3 linked regions of the Nothobranchius furzeri genome follow. The protein of the gene in region 3 interacts with the protein of the main gene of each other region in a biochemical or structural test. Links are inferred from orthologs where the notes say so. Each region holds a gene or a part of one and is shown on either strand. Other genes may lie near its edges.

What was found.
Region 1: of the proteins of pink1 (region 3) and prkn, one has a biochemical effect on the other in vitro, tested with the Homo sapiens proteins (12 studies listed by BioGRID, with this or other methods). The link is inferred for Nothobranchius furzeri from reciprocal best matches to the Homo sapiens genes PINK1 and PRKN.
Region 2: the proteins of pink1 (region 3) and bag2 form a complex in vitro, tested with the Homo sapiens proteins (2 studies listed by BioGRID). The link is inferred for Nothobranchius furzeri from reciprocal best matches to the Homo sapiens genes PINK1 and BAG2.

What each region holds. Positions count from the first base shown.
Region 1 is NC_091752.1:62,536,343-62,540,633, forward strand, and holds the end of prkn (E3 ubiquitin-protein ligase parkin), read left to right. Parts: intron 1-52; coding exon 53-114; intron 115-432; coding exon 433-666; intron 667-2,519; coding exon 2,520-2,637; intron 2,638-2,713; coding exon 2,714-2,817; 3' UTR 2,818-3,346; downstream 3,347-4,291. UniProt on the Homo sapiens protein: Functions within a multiprotein E3 ubiquitin ligase complex, catalyzing the covalent attachment of ubiquitin moieties onto substrate proteins. Substrates include SYT11 and VDAC1.
Region 2 is NC_091752.1:19,643,618-19,648,255, forward strand, and holds the start of bag2 (BAG family molecular chaperone regulator 2), read right to left. Parts: upstream 3,043-4,638; 5' UTR 2,789-3,042; coding exon 2,664-2,788; intron 2,480-2,663; coding exon 2,370-2,479; intron 775-2,369; coding exon 380-774; 3' UTR 1-379. UniProt on the Homo sapiens protein: Co-chaperone for HSP70 and HSC70 chaperone proteins. Acts as a nucleotide-exchange factor (NEF) promoting the release of ADP from the HSP70 and HSC70 proteins thereby triggering client/substrate protein release.
Region 3 is NC_091755.1:38,775,124-38,779,521, forward strand, and holds the end of pink1 (serine/threonine-protein kinase PINK1, mitochondrial), read right to left. Parts: intron 3,765-4,398; coding exon 3,534-3,764; intron 3,433-3,533; coding exon 3,148-3,432; 3' UTR 994-3,147; downstream 1-993. UniProt on the Homo sapiens protein: Serine/threonine-protein kinase which acts as a sensor of mitochondrial damage and protects against mitochondrial dysfunction during cellular stress.

The sequences.
Region 1 (4,291 bases), on a different chromosome or scaffold from region 3:
GATGTGAACAGGTATGAATGGGACCGTAACGGTATGATCTTTGTGTTTCCAGCTGGCTGTGAGGACTCTCTGGTAAAAGAGTTGCATCATTTCAGGATTCTGGGAGATGAACAGGTGACGTACCGTCACACAGGATGTGGGTGCTTGGTTCAGACACTGTGTAGCATGATGTGTCCATGTAAACTACACACTTAGAAGGAATGGGTTTTATATAGCACTTCTTTCTGAAAGAGCCCCATAGTACTTCACAACAGCAATCGTACAGACACCACAGAGAACGGCAACCATAAAATACATATAAACAAAGGCCTATAAAGCATCAAGCAAAGCACCACAGAATTAAAAATCATTAAAAGCCTTCCATGAAGTCAGTAGAGACGCATTCATGCTGTGAGCAGCAGGTTTGAACACTCACCTGTGTGCTTGTTTCAGTATGGGCGGTACCAGCAATATGGGGCGGAAGAGTGTCTGCTGACCCTTGGAGGCCTGTTATGTCCCTCACCTGGCTGCGGGGCGGGACTTCTACCACCCAACGGCATCAGGAGGGTGGAGTGTGACAGACAGCTAGGCTGTGGCTTCATCTTCTGCAGGGACTGCAGAGGACCATATCATGAGGGGGCATGTCAGGTGATGCCAGCTCCACCCACCTCACGTGACTCTTCACAGGTAAGTCACAGGAGGATGAAGGTGAGGATGATGTTGGTGATAGATGATGATGATAATGGTGAGGATGAAGGTGATGATAATGGTGAGGATGATGATGATGATAATGGTGATGATGGTGATGATGGTGAGGATGATGATGATGATGATAATGGTGATGATGATGATGGTGATGATGATAATGGTGATGATGATAATGGTGATGATGATGATGATGATGGTGATGATGATAATGGTGATGATGATGATGATGATGATGATAATGGTGATGGTGAGGATGAAGGTGATAATAATGGTGATGATGATATTGATAATGATGATGATGATGATAATGCTGATGATAATGGTCAGGATGAAGGTGATTATAATGGTGATGATGATGATGACAATGGTGATGATGACAATGGTGATGATGATGATGATGTTGATAATGATGATGATGATGATGATGTTGATAATGATGATGATGATGATAATGGTGATGATAATGATGATGATGATGATGTTGATAATGATGATGATGATGATGTTGATAATGATGATGATGATGATAATGGTGATGATAATGATGATGATGATGATGTTGATAATGATAATGCTGATGATAATGGTCAGGATGATGGTGATGATAATGGTGATGATGATGATGATGATGATAATAATGGTGATGATGATGATGATGATAATGGTGATGATGATGATGATGAGGATGAGGATGAAGATGAAAATAATGGTGATGATGATGATGATGATAATGGTGATGATGATGATGATGATGATAATGGTGATGATGATGATGATAATGGTGATGGTGATGATGATAATGGTGGTGATGATGATGATGATGACGATGATGATGATGATAATGGTGAGGATGAAGGTGATGATAATGGTGACAATGATGATAACAGTGATGATGATGATGATGACGATAATGATGATGATAATGGTGAGGATGAAGGTGATATTAATGGTGATGGTGATGATGATGATGATGATGATGATAATGGTGAGGATGAAGGTGATAATAATGGTGATGACGATGATGATGATTGATTGAGGTTCCTTACTTTGTTCTCTGAGATTAATCTAATGCCGTTCAGGTCAGGTGATTGACTAAGCAATTACCTTTTCTGAATTTCAGGTCCAAAGATGAGAACTTCAGTCTTGTCTTGATTTAAAAGCAGAAAGTTTTGCGCAATCCAATTTTTGATGTCTTCTAGACAAGCCTGTATCCTAACTAACCGATGAGGTTCATCAGTGTTAATGGATAGATATAACTGAGTATCGTCAGCTTAACGGTGGAAGTTTATCCCATGCTGCCTAATGATTTTACCAATTGGAAGCATATATATATATTATATATATATATATATATATATATATATATATATATATATATATATATATATATATATATATATAGTAAAAAGAAATGGTCCAAGCACTGAACCCTGTGGTACTCCACAAGTAACCCTGGAGTATAACTGAGTATCGTCAGCTTAACGGTGGAAGTTTATCCCATGCTGCCTAATGATTTTACCAATTGGAAGCATATATATATATATATATATATATATATATATATATATATATATATATATATATATATAGTAAAAAGAAATGGTCCAAGCACTGAACCCTGTGGTACTCCACAAGTAACCCTGGAGTATGAAGAAGATTTGTCATGTACATTTACAAAATGAAATCTGTCAGACAGGTAGGATTTAAACCAGCCTAGCGCTGTTCCTTTGATCCCTACAACATGTTCAAGCCTTTCTAAAAGAACATTGTGATCAACTGTGTCAAAGGCAGCATGATGATAAAATAATTAACCTGTTACCCTTCCTGCAAAGGGTTTTGTTGTTGCAGAGGAGGCATCTCAACAGGGGAGGTGGGACCGGGCATCTCTGCTCCTCATCCAAGAGTCAACCAAACGCTGCCCTCGCTGCTCGGTTCCTGTGGAGAGAAACGGTAGCCATTACGTTCAAGTCACTCACTACTAATACACATGTAGGTGACTGAAGTGTTGTGCTGTTGCCCCATGCAGGTGGCTGCATGCACATGCAGTGCTCCCTCTGCAGAGCTGAGTGGTGCTGGCTGTGTGGCGTTCCCTGGAACCGAGAGTGTATGGGGAACCACTGGTTTGGATAACGGCACACTTTCACAAGACTAAAGCATCTGGTTCATAATTGATCACATTTGTGACCAGGTCTTCCTGTCCCCTCAGACATCCATGTGTTAATTGACCACCCCAGACCAGGATGTCAGTCAGAGTTTTCTACTATCCATGACAAGTGTTATTACTGTAGCTGACTAGAGATAGTGCATGGACAATATCAAGCCCTACCCCACCCCAGAGAGATGCTCTGTAGTTGGTCTGATTGTCCATAGTACGCTAAGACAACCCTGTGGGTCCGAGCCATGTGATCAGCCAACCTCCTACGTTTAAAATCTGAGGTTGTGATAAATGGCAACACCGTACTCTGCTATTCCTAGAGGACTGCCGACATCCTGCTGTGGGTTTCTCTGCTCACAATAATTTAAATAAAGCTGTATCTGTTTTTTGGAACAAGTCATGTTAACAATGAGTTACTAATGAGATAATGTGTTACTAGTATGTTACCAGTGACTTAAAGGTTGAATATAGAACAATAAAAAGCTATATTGTTTTTAAATAAAACCTCCATGGGGTATTTAGAGGTGTCCAGAATGAAGCTAAAGCGCCTCATTAAAAAGCTAGATTTTAATTTTAAAATAATCAAATATTGTTTTGACGGGCGCAACACTGGGTAATGTTCATATCTACCAACCAGTAGAGGGCACCAATGCGGGTTGCCAAACAGTCTGCGAGGCTGGCTCTGTGGAAAATGGCGGACTCTGTGAGTCAAGCAGCTACTTCTGAGCCCAGGAGATGTCATTATTCTTCTCAGAAGAGGAGCGACCATGAAAGATCTAAAACCAGAGTGAGTTTGGGTGAAACCTACAACAAATGGACGGACCCATATAAAAAAATTCACGTATCAGCAGCAAACCTGGCGTCCTGATGACTGGAAGACTTGTTCTATTGCTGCAGCTACAACCTCCACACACTAGATGTCGCTTTGATGTTCCGGTTCCATACTCAACCATTAATGATGAGATTATAATGAGTTAACAATGAGTTGATAATTTAATGGGTTCATAGAATGTTAACAATGGTAAATGACCTGTAATTGTTTAGGGCCTCTGCCAAGGTACTTTAAAGGTGTGGTTGACTGAAAAAACATTTTTAATGATTATTTCTGATTCTAACGGGTCACTCTGGGTTTTTCATGCAGGCTGAACATTAAAACAGTCTTCTACATCTATCTGCTGCATTAGCTTCTGATAGAAAATAGACAGTGAAATGCTAGGACTTGAAAATCCTCAGATCTATGTCACACTGTGAATTTGCATTCATGGCCCTGCCCATTCTGGCTCGGACCCGCCCACAGGAAGGCTTTTTTACATTTTGTTTTGCAGCGAGGAGAGCGCAAAGTGTGCGTTGTTGATAGTGACTTTGCAACATGGCTGAACTCGTTCTTTTAGCCAATCAGAAGCAAGGTGTGTGCACATCATGAGTTTTAATATGTAATCCTGCTGTTTT
Region 2 (4,638 bases), on a different chromosome or scaffold from region 3:
AAAGGAAAGTGCTGCACCATTCCTGGCTTCAGATAAACCGGCCTGGACAACAAGTCAGAATCAGTCGTGTGTTTTGATCTTGTTCAAACCTTGTGTCAGGTTTAAGTAAATTGGTGAACGTTCACAGTAAACGCTGTTGACCGTGCAACCAAACAAAATCAGCATAATGGGCGATCATTGAAATCTGTGCATGCTTCAAAAAGATGGACAAAAAGGTGTGCTACCTAAAGGTGAAAGGTTAAAATTCGGTATGGCATTTTCCCATAAGACCTCTCCTTGCTGCTTCAAGCAGAGTCCATCTGAAATTAATTAAATGTGTAAAAGCTAACTATAGCTTTCTGTGAGGTTAGTGGAATTCAAGACACCTCGGCAAAGGGTCTCAGTGACCCCCGTTAGCTTTTGTGCCCTCCAGTTTTTGGTGATCCATTATCTTGATGTTCTTTTCGGCATTTTCAACGTTCCTCAGCAGAGTCTCCAGCCTTCGCTTTATCTTCTTCTGGTCCTCCAGAGCGCAGCTGATCACCACGGTCTGAAACTTCTGGTCAATAGGGACGAGCGGTGCCTCCGTGACGCAGGCAGCGTGCAGGGCCAGCAGCTGCTGACGGCCACCTTCCATGTCGCTCAGCAGCTTTTTCACAATCTCGTCTATCATAGACGTGGCCTTGAGTAGTGCATCCTCCTGTTGGGGGTTTCTGATTGTGCCAACAGAGATCTCCACAGACAACGTTCGGCCCATCAGACGGTTCGCAGTCAAAGATAACTCTTCCCTCTCACCTAGAAGACATGTAAACATATTACTAAATCTTTATAGGAAAGAAACTGCTTTTAATGCGGCTGTAACAGCACATCAATAGTCATTTCATATTTCTAAAAGTTTATTTCAATGAGTACAAGCTCTGATTTGTCTGAGATCCCACCCCACACCATAATACTGCCCCCACTGAAACCTGTTAAGCAATATTCATGATGTTCTCCATGATTCTGCCAACTTGTCAATAATAACAAGCTGACACCAAAATACCACTGATATTAATTGGAAGAAATGAATGCAATAACATTTCCAAACATATTTTTTATTGGGATGGACGATGTTTCTCTGGAGCATTTTTTGCCATATTGCTTGTTATGGTCATCACATCGTACAGCAACCAATAAAGTAAATGCTTTGTCGAAAAACTAATAATTTTCATTTCCTCTGAAACATGCAATCCCGTTCTTAATGACTGAATCATGATCCATCCATCAAACTCCCCTCTGACAGTCCCTCCGCTGTATGCGCATACCCGTATTTGTGGATGTATTGCGCATTCTTGGCTTAGAGTAGTTGAACAGGAAGCAAAGTCGGAGCCGGACTGCCTAGTGTTTAACGGACAGAATGTTCGGTTATGTTTGCAAATTTTATTCAAAGATTAGGTTATAACTCATCTTTTCTTGTCATCTAGAATCTTCTGGTGCTGATCTGTAACAGGCCCTTTTGCGCCATGAGAATCTATCGTGGCTGCAGGAACTGAAGTAGGGATAATCCCAACCCACCTCCCCACCTAGTGGACACTTATATTGTGTAATGCCTGAAGTCTGTTGCATCTCTGTCGGAGGTGGGTGTTTTTTTTTTTTTTGCATAGCAAAGCTGCCTTCCCAGTGGAGGGTAACTCTGAAGTGCCTTTTTTTCCCTCCACCTGAACCAATCCTCATGTAACCCTCTGATCTCAATTAGCACGACTCAGGGTTGCGAATGACCACAGTCACCAATTCTTGTCATATGTCTTGCCCATGTATGTCTGATCTCTGAATTGTGTGTACTGAAACTCTAATTTCCCTCTGGGATTAATAAAGTATCTTTGATTTGATTTTGATTGACACTCACGGCAGTGACTTTTGCTTACAAATGTGGTCTGCAGTAACCAAATTTGACCACAGGATGTCAGTCTTACATAATGCACCTTTACATAAAGCCCTTCTTTCAAATCCCTGACCAGTTGAGAGGAGTTTCTAGGTGAACCATGGAGCTCGTGTGAATCATACTAACTTACATTAATGAGGTTTAATGGAGCATAAACCAACATGACTAGACGGTCTACCCTGGTCAGACTCTGGATTTAAATAATGAGCTTTAAGGGTTAGGCCTTTTTGTCTGTTTACAGCGGAACCAAATCAATAAACCAGATGTAGGCTATTGACTCACACGATCCAGAGGTGAAACATGAGCCTGGTTCACACAAACTGGGTCTGGGTGAGATCAGAGGAGATGGGATTCTGGTAGAAATACATTAACCGTACTAGTTCCCCTTTATAACCGCGTATCTTCCCTGGCATTAAGCCGTGCGTGACTTTTGCGCTTATGTAAGTTAAGAGAGAGTTAGCAGCTTCACCAGCACAGATGTTCCTCATTTCTTGACTGTTCTGTATGGACTGAATCATTTCCAGGATGCACTCCCTTTCCTGCTCCATGGCAGATGCTGCTTCTCGTAAAGCCTCCACTCTGACACAGAAAGAGAGACAGCATATGAAATAACACGCTGCAAACCAGTTATGTTTGTTATGAAAAACATTTATTGTCACATTGCCCTGTTTACAGTGTTTATAAAAGGTTTATGCCAATAAATGTTAGCGGCCGGGGCAAATAGCGGCTCCGTAGCACACATGGTACAACAAGGGCCTGTTACCTCGTTTCCAGCTGATCCAAACTTTCCAGGAGTCGCCCCGAGCGGTCTGCCATAGAAAGCGTCCTGCTGAACTTGCTGCAGAGGGCAGCTTCGTTCATTTTCGCTTGTATTTTCGCTTGAGCCATAATGAAGACGAAGATGATGGCTACAGTGCTTTCCCTCGGTGAGCGCAAAATCCAGTGTGTGTCCCTCCGAGCCGTCCAGCTGGGTGTAAATCCTCGGACTGAGGCAGGCAGCAGCAGCGCCCCATGGGGGGAACATTTCCTAACATGGACTTCCTTCACTCCGGCAGAAAGTTCCCGAGGAGACCAGAGCTGGAGCTCCCAATCGTAAGGAGCGTGGACCAGCAGAGGTCCGTGAGCAAGCTCCTCCAGGTCCACGGAAATAAAAGACCTATAATGTTCCAACTCACTTTGCAGTTTTAAGTAATGTGTCTTGATTTATTTGGGCATAATTTTTATTAGGCAGATTGGTAAAGTAATCAAGTTATTCTGATAAACTTATCCAGGCCTATATATATATATATAATTCATTTTCACTCCAGACTACAGATGAAAGCCTGTGGTGGTCTGCAACCCGCAACTCTGGAGCCACAGTGGACCTTCCAGAATGGCTTTTACTTTATAATAATCATAGATATAATAGAAAAAGTGAGATTTAAGCAGCCTTTTGTTATGGATTAATTGAACTGAATTCCCACAACGCAGTGACACCTGTCATCTAGAGGTGAAAACTGCATTACACCCCTAGGCCTCTCAGTTTCCATGATTATGGCCTTTTTATGAACAGTCATGTTGTGCTGTTTATCATGTATATTTTAAAGACTTACTTGTCCATAAGAAATGTTACCAACTCTGCATCAGTCTGGGCTCGTCTTCCCTCTGATCACCTCTCCGTCCAATCTTCTTTTCGAGCTCCCCATGTGTATGTCGTTTGATGGCTTCCGGGGGAGCTGATTACCCTTTTGGGGGAGCCGTGATTTCAACCTCCCCCAAAAATCGCCAAGAAAATTTCAAAAAGATGTATTGCCTTGGTTATCACAGTACAGGCTTTTATGGATTAAAAGAAAATCATAAATAATTCTTGGAAGGGGGGAAACTCCAGGTTGCTGCTTTAAAGTACCCATGAGATTTTTACATCTATTTTTTAAAAATAATTTCCCTAAATATAAATATCTGGTACAAAAAATACATTCATACACTTTTGGCAAAAGTTTTCTTCCTAAACTCAAAATCTAATAGGAACAAAATGGTGTAAATATTTATGAGACGTCTAACCTTAACCTCAGAATTCTGATTATTTTTCCCTCAGAAAAGAGAAAAAGAACTTCTTCTTCAGTGGCCCTAATCCTTTTATGTAAATAGTTCAACAATTATAAAGATCTTGTTTCAAAAGGTCCTGTAACAGTTACCCATGGTCCAGAGAAGCTGTGGTGGACGTCCCTTAAGGTGGCCACCCTAATGCGTCATTCCCTGTTTTGGGGACATTTATAGAAATGATTAACAAGAATTATTTTGGGGAAAACTACATCCACACAAACAAGGTGATCCCAAACCGACACAAGCAGATTTCACAAGCTCTTGAAAAAAATTCCATCTGTTCATTAGAAGTTACCTGTTAAACTGTAAATCAGCACAAGTGCATAAAGGCTCCATCTGAAAACTTCACCAATATCTGAATGAAGTGTAAATCAAATTTAATTTACACACACACAACTACCTTTTATGTGTTAAAAGTTACAAGACATCAACACATTTATCTGAACAGCAATAAGACAGAAATTCTTCTTGTCGGAACCAAATGTATGATTACTAAATCAGTTTTTCCCTCTTTTCCATTCGACAATAGCATCCCATCTCCTTCATCACAGGTTAAGTCTGGGTGTCAATTTGGATACAACTTTGTCTTTCTCTGCTCACATCAACGCTCACATCAATGTGGTTTGTTTAGCCTAACTGACTACTGCAACTCTCTG
Region 3 (4,398 bases):
GCTTGTTTGTTTTTGCAAGAGGAATTACTGCTCCTTGCGGAAGACCACAGACGAAGGACGAGGTTAAGAACGGGGGAAGTACTGCCGCCTACAGGTCTGGCATGTCCTTAACAACGAATTTATCCGGGTACGTGTGGACAGTTTTTTTTTTAAACGAGGTGGTGTGGATGCAAGTTTTTGGAGGGGCGGATATTCGTTTAAAAAACCCGGCTACGTGTGGACTAGGCCTAAGTCTCTGGGTGACACCATATTAGATGCTGTGTTTCCTTCTACGGGAGCCCGTAGAGGACAATATACATTTAATGATTTGTAACGAACAGTTACAAAACTTTTACCATTCATAAATGTTATTGCTTTACACATTACCTCATCACTCACTGCCAGTGATGAAAGGGAGTCTGATGTGCTTATTTTGCTGGAGGCTGCACTCACAGAGATTTTTGACCCTAATGGCCATCTGTTGATAAGGTCTTACTCAAACACAAAACTACAGCTTGCTTGTGATGACTTAGGTATGTATTGCCACTTATCGCCAGGGAAAATACACGTTGTCACTTTAAGAGTGTAATGTTAGCTGTTTTAAAGAAACTGCTTCATTTTAAACTAAATACCAGCAAAGACTCAATAGAAAATCTGCCCAGGCACTGAAAGATTGACGACCTTGCACTACTTATGACACGTATTCATAGTGTGACCTCACACTGAATGACTCAGCTACTATCAAAATGATTGGGTTAGTCATTTTTGTGTTTTCTAATATTATGCAGCTGTGGTGGCCATCTTGAATTGGCTTCATTTGAAATGCCAATCAGCAATAATTGATTTCTGACTGTTGCATTAAAATCCATCCAGTCCTCCATAAGATATTTTGACACACAAACCAACAAAAACATCATCACCAACCAAAACTCAAAATTCAGTCAAATTCATTGCAAAGGTAACAAAAAGCTGAAGGGTGCACTGAAATCAAACATTAACCATAATTGGAGATAATTGCGTTTGAAATGATTTTATTCTGAAATTCAACCTTTCTACATGTCCAAAAATATTTCCAACAATCTTCAATGTACCAAACTATAATTACAACATGGATTTGCATCCCAAACTACTGACGTACAGCTGAAAATAACCATATAGTGCAGTAAATGAATCTGTCTTTCTAGCGACGGTGAAATGGTTGCTTTTCATTTATAACACATTTAAAACACCAACTATTCTTGAATACAATTCTAGAAAAATGCAAACAGGAAAACGGAGTGCATTATTATGCATGGTCAGGGGCGGATCTACAAAATTATTTATGGGGTGGCAGAAGAGGGGCAAACATTTTTCTAGGGTGGCCATTCATATATATATACACACACACATAGATAGATAGATAGATAGATAGATAGATAGATAGAGATAGAGATAGAGAGAGAGAGAGAGAGAGAGAGAGAGAGAGAGAGAGAGAGAGAGAGAGAGAGAGAGAGAGAGAGAGAGAGAGAGAGACGTTTTCCTTTTTATTTTCCCAGGATTTGCATATTCATTTGTTTTGGGTCCTCATTTAATAAGCTTAAAGGCCCATCATGAAAATAAAACACATAATAAAATTATGTCCTTCCTACAACAGCTGAATGCGGCAGTTTCCATGTTGCTCAGCAAAACAATTTACACATTCATCAAGGTCCAAAGATTTTGCCCGTTTTGATTCAATGCTGAGTACAGCCTAGCTTCATAGTCTTTTCTCTGTCAAAGGAGACTGCAAATAGGTCTTTATGAGCCAGACAGTTGAAAAACGTTGATTTTTCTTGAATTTATAGCTACCAGCTGGGGTGGCAGCAGCGGTAGCAAGGCTTTCTTTTAGGGTGGCAACTGCCACCCTATGCCACCCTTATAGATCCGCCCCTGTGCATGGTACTAATGATCTATGGATGTTTTACCATGACTTCATCTTTGTTAAGCATGCCGAACACACGTTACGCAGAAACCTCCTAAAACCAGCTCTTTGGAGAGGGTTTCAGATGTTGCACCTGCAGGTAGCTGACCTCACCCTACCCAGTAGATCCTCACAAGTGTAACATGGTTTTAATTTTAAATATCTGCATTGGTCACTTCCACACTGTGACAGACCTGTGTCTACAAATGTGCATGAGAGCTTTCAGGAGACAGGATCTACTCTTAACCACCAGCAGCCATTTCTACTCTCATTACAGAATTTTTAGTTTTTTTTTTTAAATTAACAAACATCTCAGTGATAAATTAGATTTTTAAAGATTAGGTACTGAAATTTTTATTCAAAAACTAAAGCAAAAGGGAAGAATTGACCCGTTTTGGAACATCAGTTACTTCCAAAAGCCTTTGATATAAATTTATGTTTTTTGTACTTTTGAATACAGATGTTACTCATCTTTGTGTGGGATTAAATTTAGCCTCTAAAGGTTTGTTCCAGACTTCCTCTGACCAGATTTCCCTTGAACAAGTGGCCAGTTGGACTTGGGTGTCCCTGCAGACGGCTCTCGCACATTTAGACCCAGTAGAACTCTGGATCTCTAAAATCATTCCCTCCCAGCTGTCCTTTGTATAAAGTTCCTCCTTGGTGACGTCTTCTGTTAGACCTTCACAGACTTTCTCACATGGGTCATCACTCACGCATACACCCACACCTTCTGCATGATGTTGTGTTCCAGTTAGCGTGAGATGTTGCTCCATCTGGCTGGAAAACAGTCATTGTGAGGATACAAACTATGATGGAGAGGGAGCAGTCCGCTCGCTCGCTCGCTCCCTCCCTCCCTCCCTCACTCACTCACTCACTCACTCACTCACTCACTCACTCACTCCCTCACTCACTCACTCACGTGAAACCAGGCTGAACAAATCCAGAACCCCGTTCTCTGACTTTCAATAATAAATTTGATCCCATACAAAAAAATCCAGGAAGACCTGGAGCTGTCATTTTCAGTAAACGTGTAAAATTTCTGTGTGCTATAAAAGGTTTTCGAGCTAGCTGACGCTGAAATCCGGCCTTTCGCATGAGCGTTAAGCTACTGCTCATTCATACAGCAGCTAAATGTTAAATCAAGCACAACAAAAACACAGCAGGTATCCACCCATAGTTTAACTACCAGCGTTTCTTTTTGAGGGTCCGAGTTACGGTTTGGACCGGATCTACGCTGACAGAGAGCAGCCGCGGCGCTGCTCCCAACCATAGAGGAGGAAGCCCATTGCGGTGCGCAGCTCCACCAGGTCCAGATTGGACAGAAAGCTTCTCTGAAGCTCCGCCTCCACCCCATTCCCACTGGGTCCAGCACAGCCCTTCAGGAGAACCACCGCAGACTGGCACAGCAACCAGTCAACGAGTTTCTTCGTGCCAGCACTGTCCTGACTGGCCAAAACCTTCCGACCCCAGAGGCTGAGATGTAGCATGTTAGCCGCTACACGTGCACTGGGCCGCTGAGGAGGAAGAACAGAGGCAAACAGAGCTAATCATCAATTAAAAACAAACGCTTCCAAGTGTAAGAGATCAGTTTATAACTGGACCTATCCTGCTTTACCCGCTCTGGGTTTCTCCTGAGAAGTAATTGTATCACCAACTGCACATCAGCTGGACTTCTGGAAGGAAACAGAGGAAGCTGTTTCTCCTGGTAGTCGGTGCTACGCAGTCCCCCAGCCTGATAGAACGGGTTCTGCTCTCCAAGTATCTCATAGGAGATCGCCCCAACGGCCCAGGCGTCCGCCTTGCTGTAGTCAATCACCACACCGCTTCCTGGGACTGCGGTGACCACCTGATGAGACAAATAACCCATCACAGCAGGTAAAGACACACCGCCTCAGAGAAATCCAGGAACAGCCGGAGTGTTTGGTGTTGTGTTCAAGGTGGTCCACACGGTTCGGCGGGTCTGATTTGTTCGTTAGACGCCTGCAGGTACACCTGGAGTCGGCCAGGCTGGAAGTGTCGCTGAAGGTGTTTTATGTTTTTAAAGGGGCATTATGGAAGTGTGACAGCCATAACATGTATAGAAATAATAAATGTCTTCTTCATACTTTCTCCTGCAATGCCCTGGTCCTGTAGAATGAGCCCTGGCATTTTTACTGTGATTGCCTGTTTTTCTGTAAAATCACAGAAAAAGAGAGATGCTCGGGTCGAGCAGGCTGCTTCATGCGTGTTCACGCTCAGGCATCGCCCGTAGCATTTGCTATCCGTAGCTTTAGCAGCAGAGAGAGAGGCAGTGCCACTTTGTCGCTGTTCCTAACGCCTAGTGACAAAGCTAGCTACATTTCTGAGCACCCTTAGCTACTTCCTTCTAGATATTTCCTGCAAATTAGCAACAAAATAGCCATTTTCGCTCCGAACCGTTCTTTGAACGTTGTTTCAGCTGTCATCAAGGATATAAAAGTTACAGATACAAAGGATGTCAT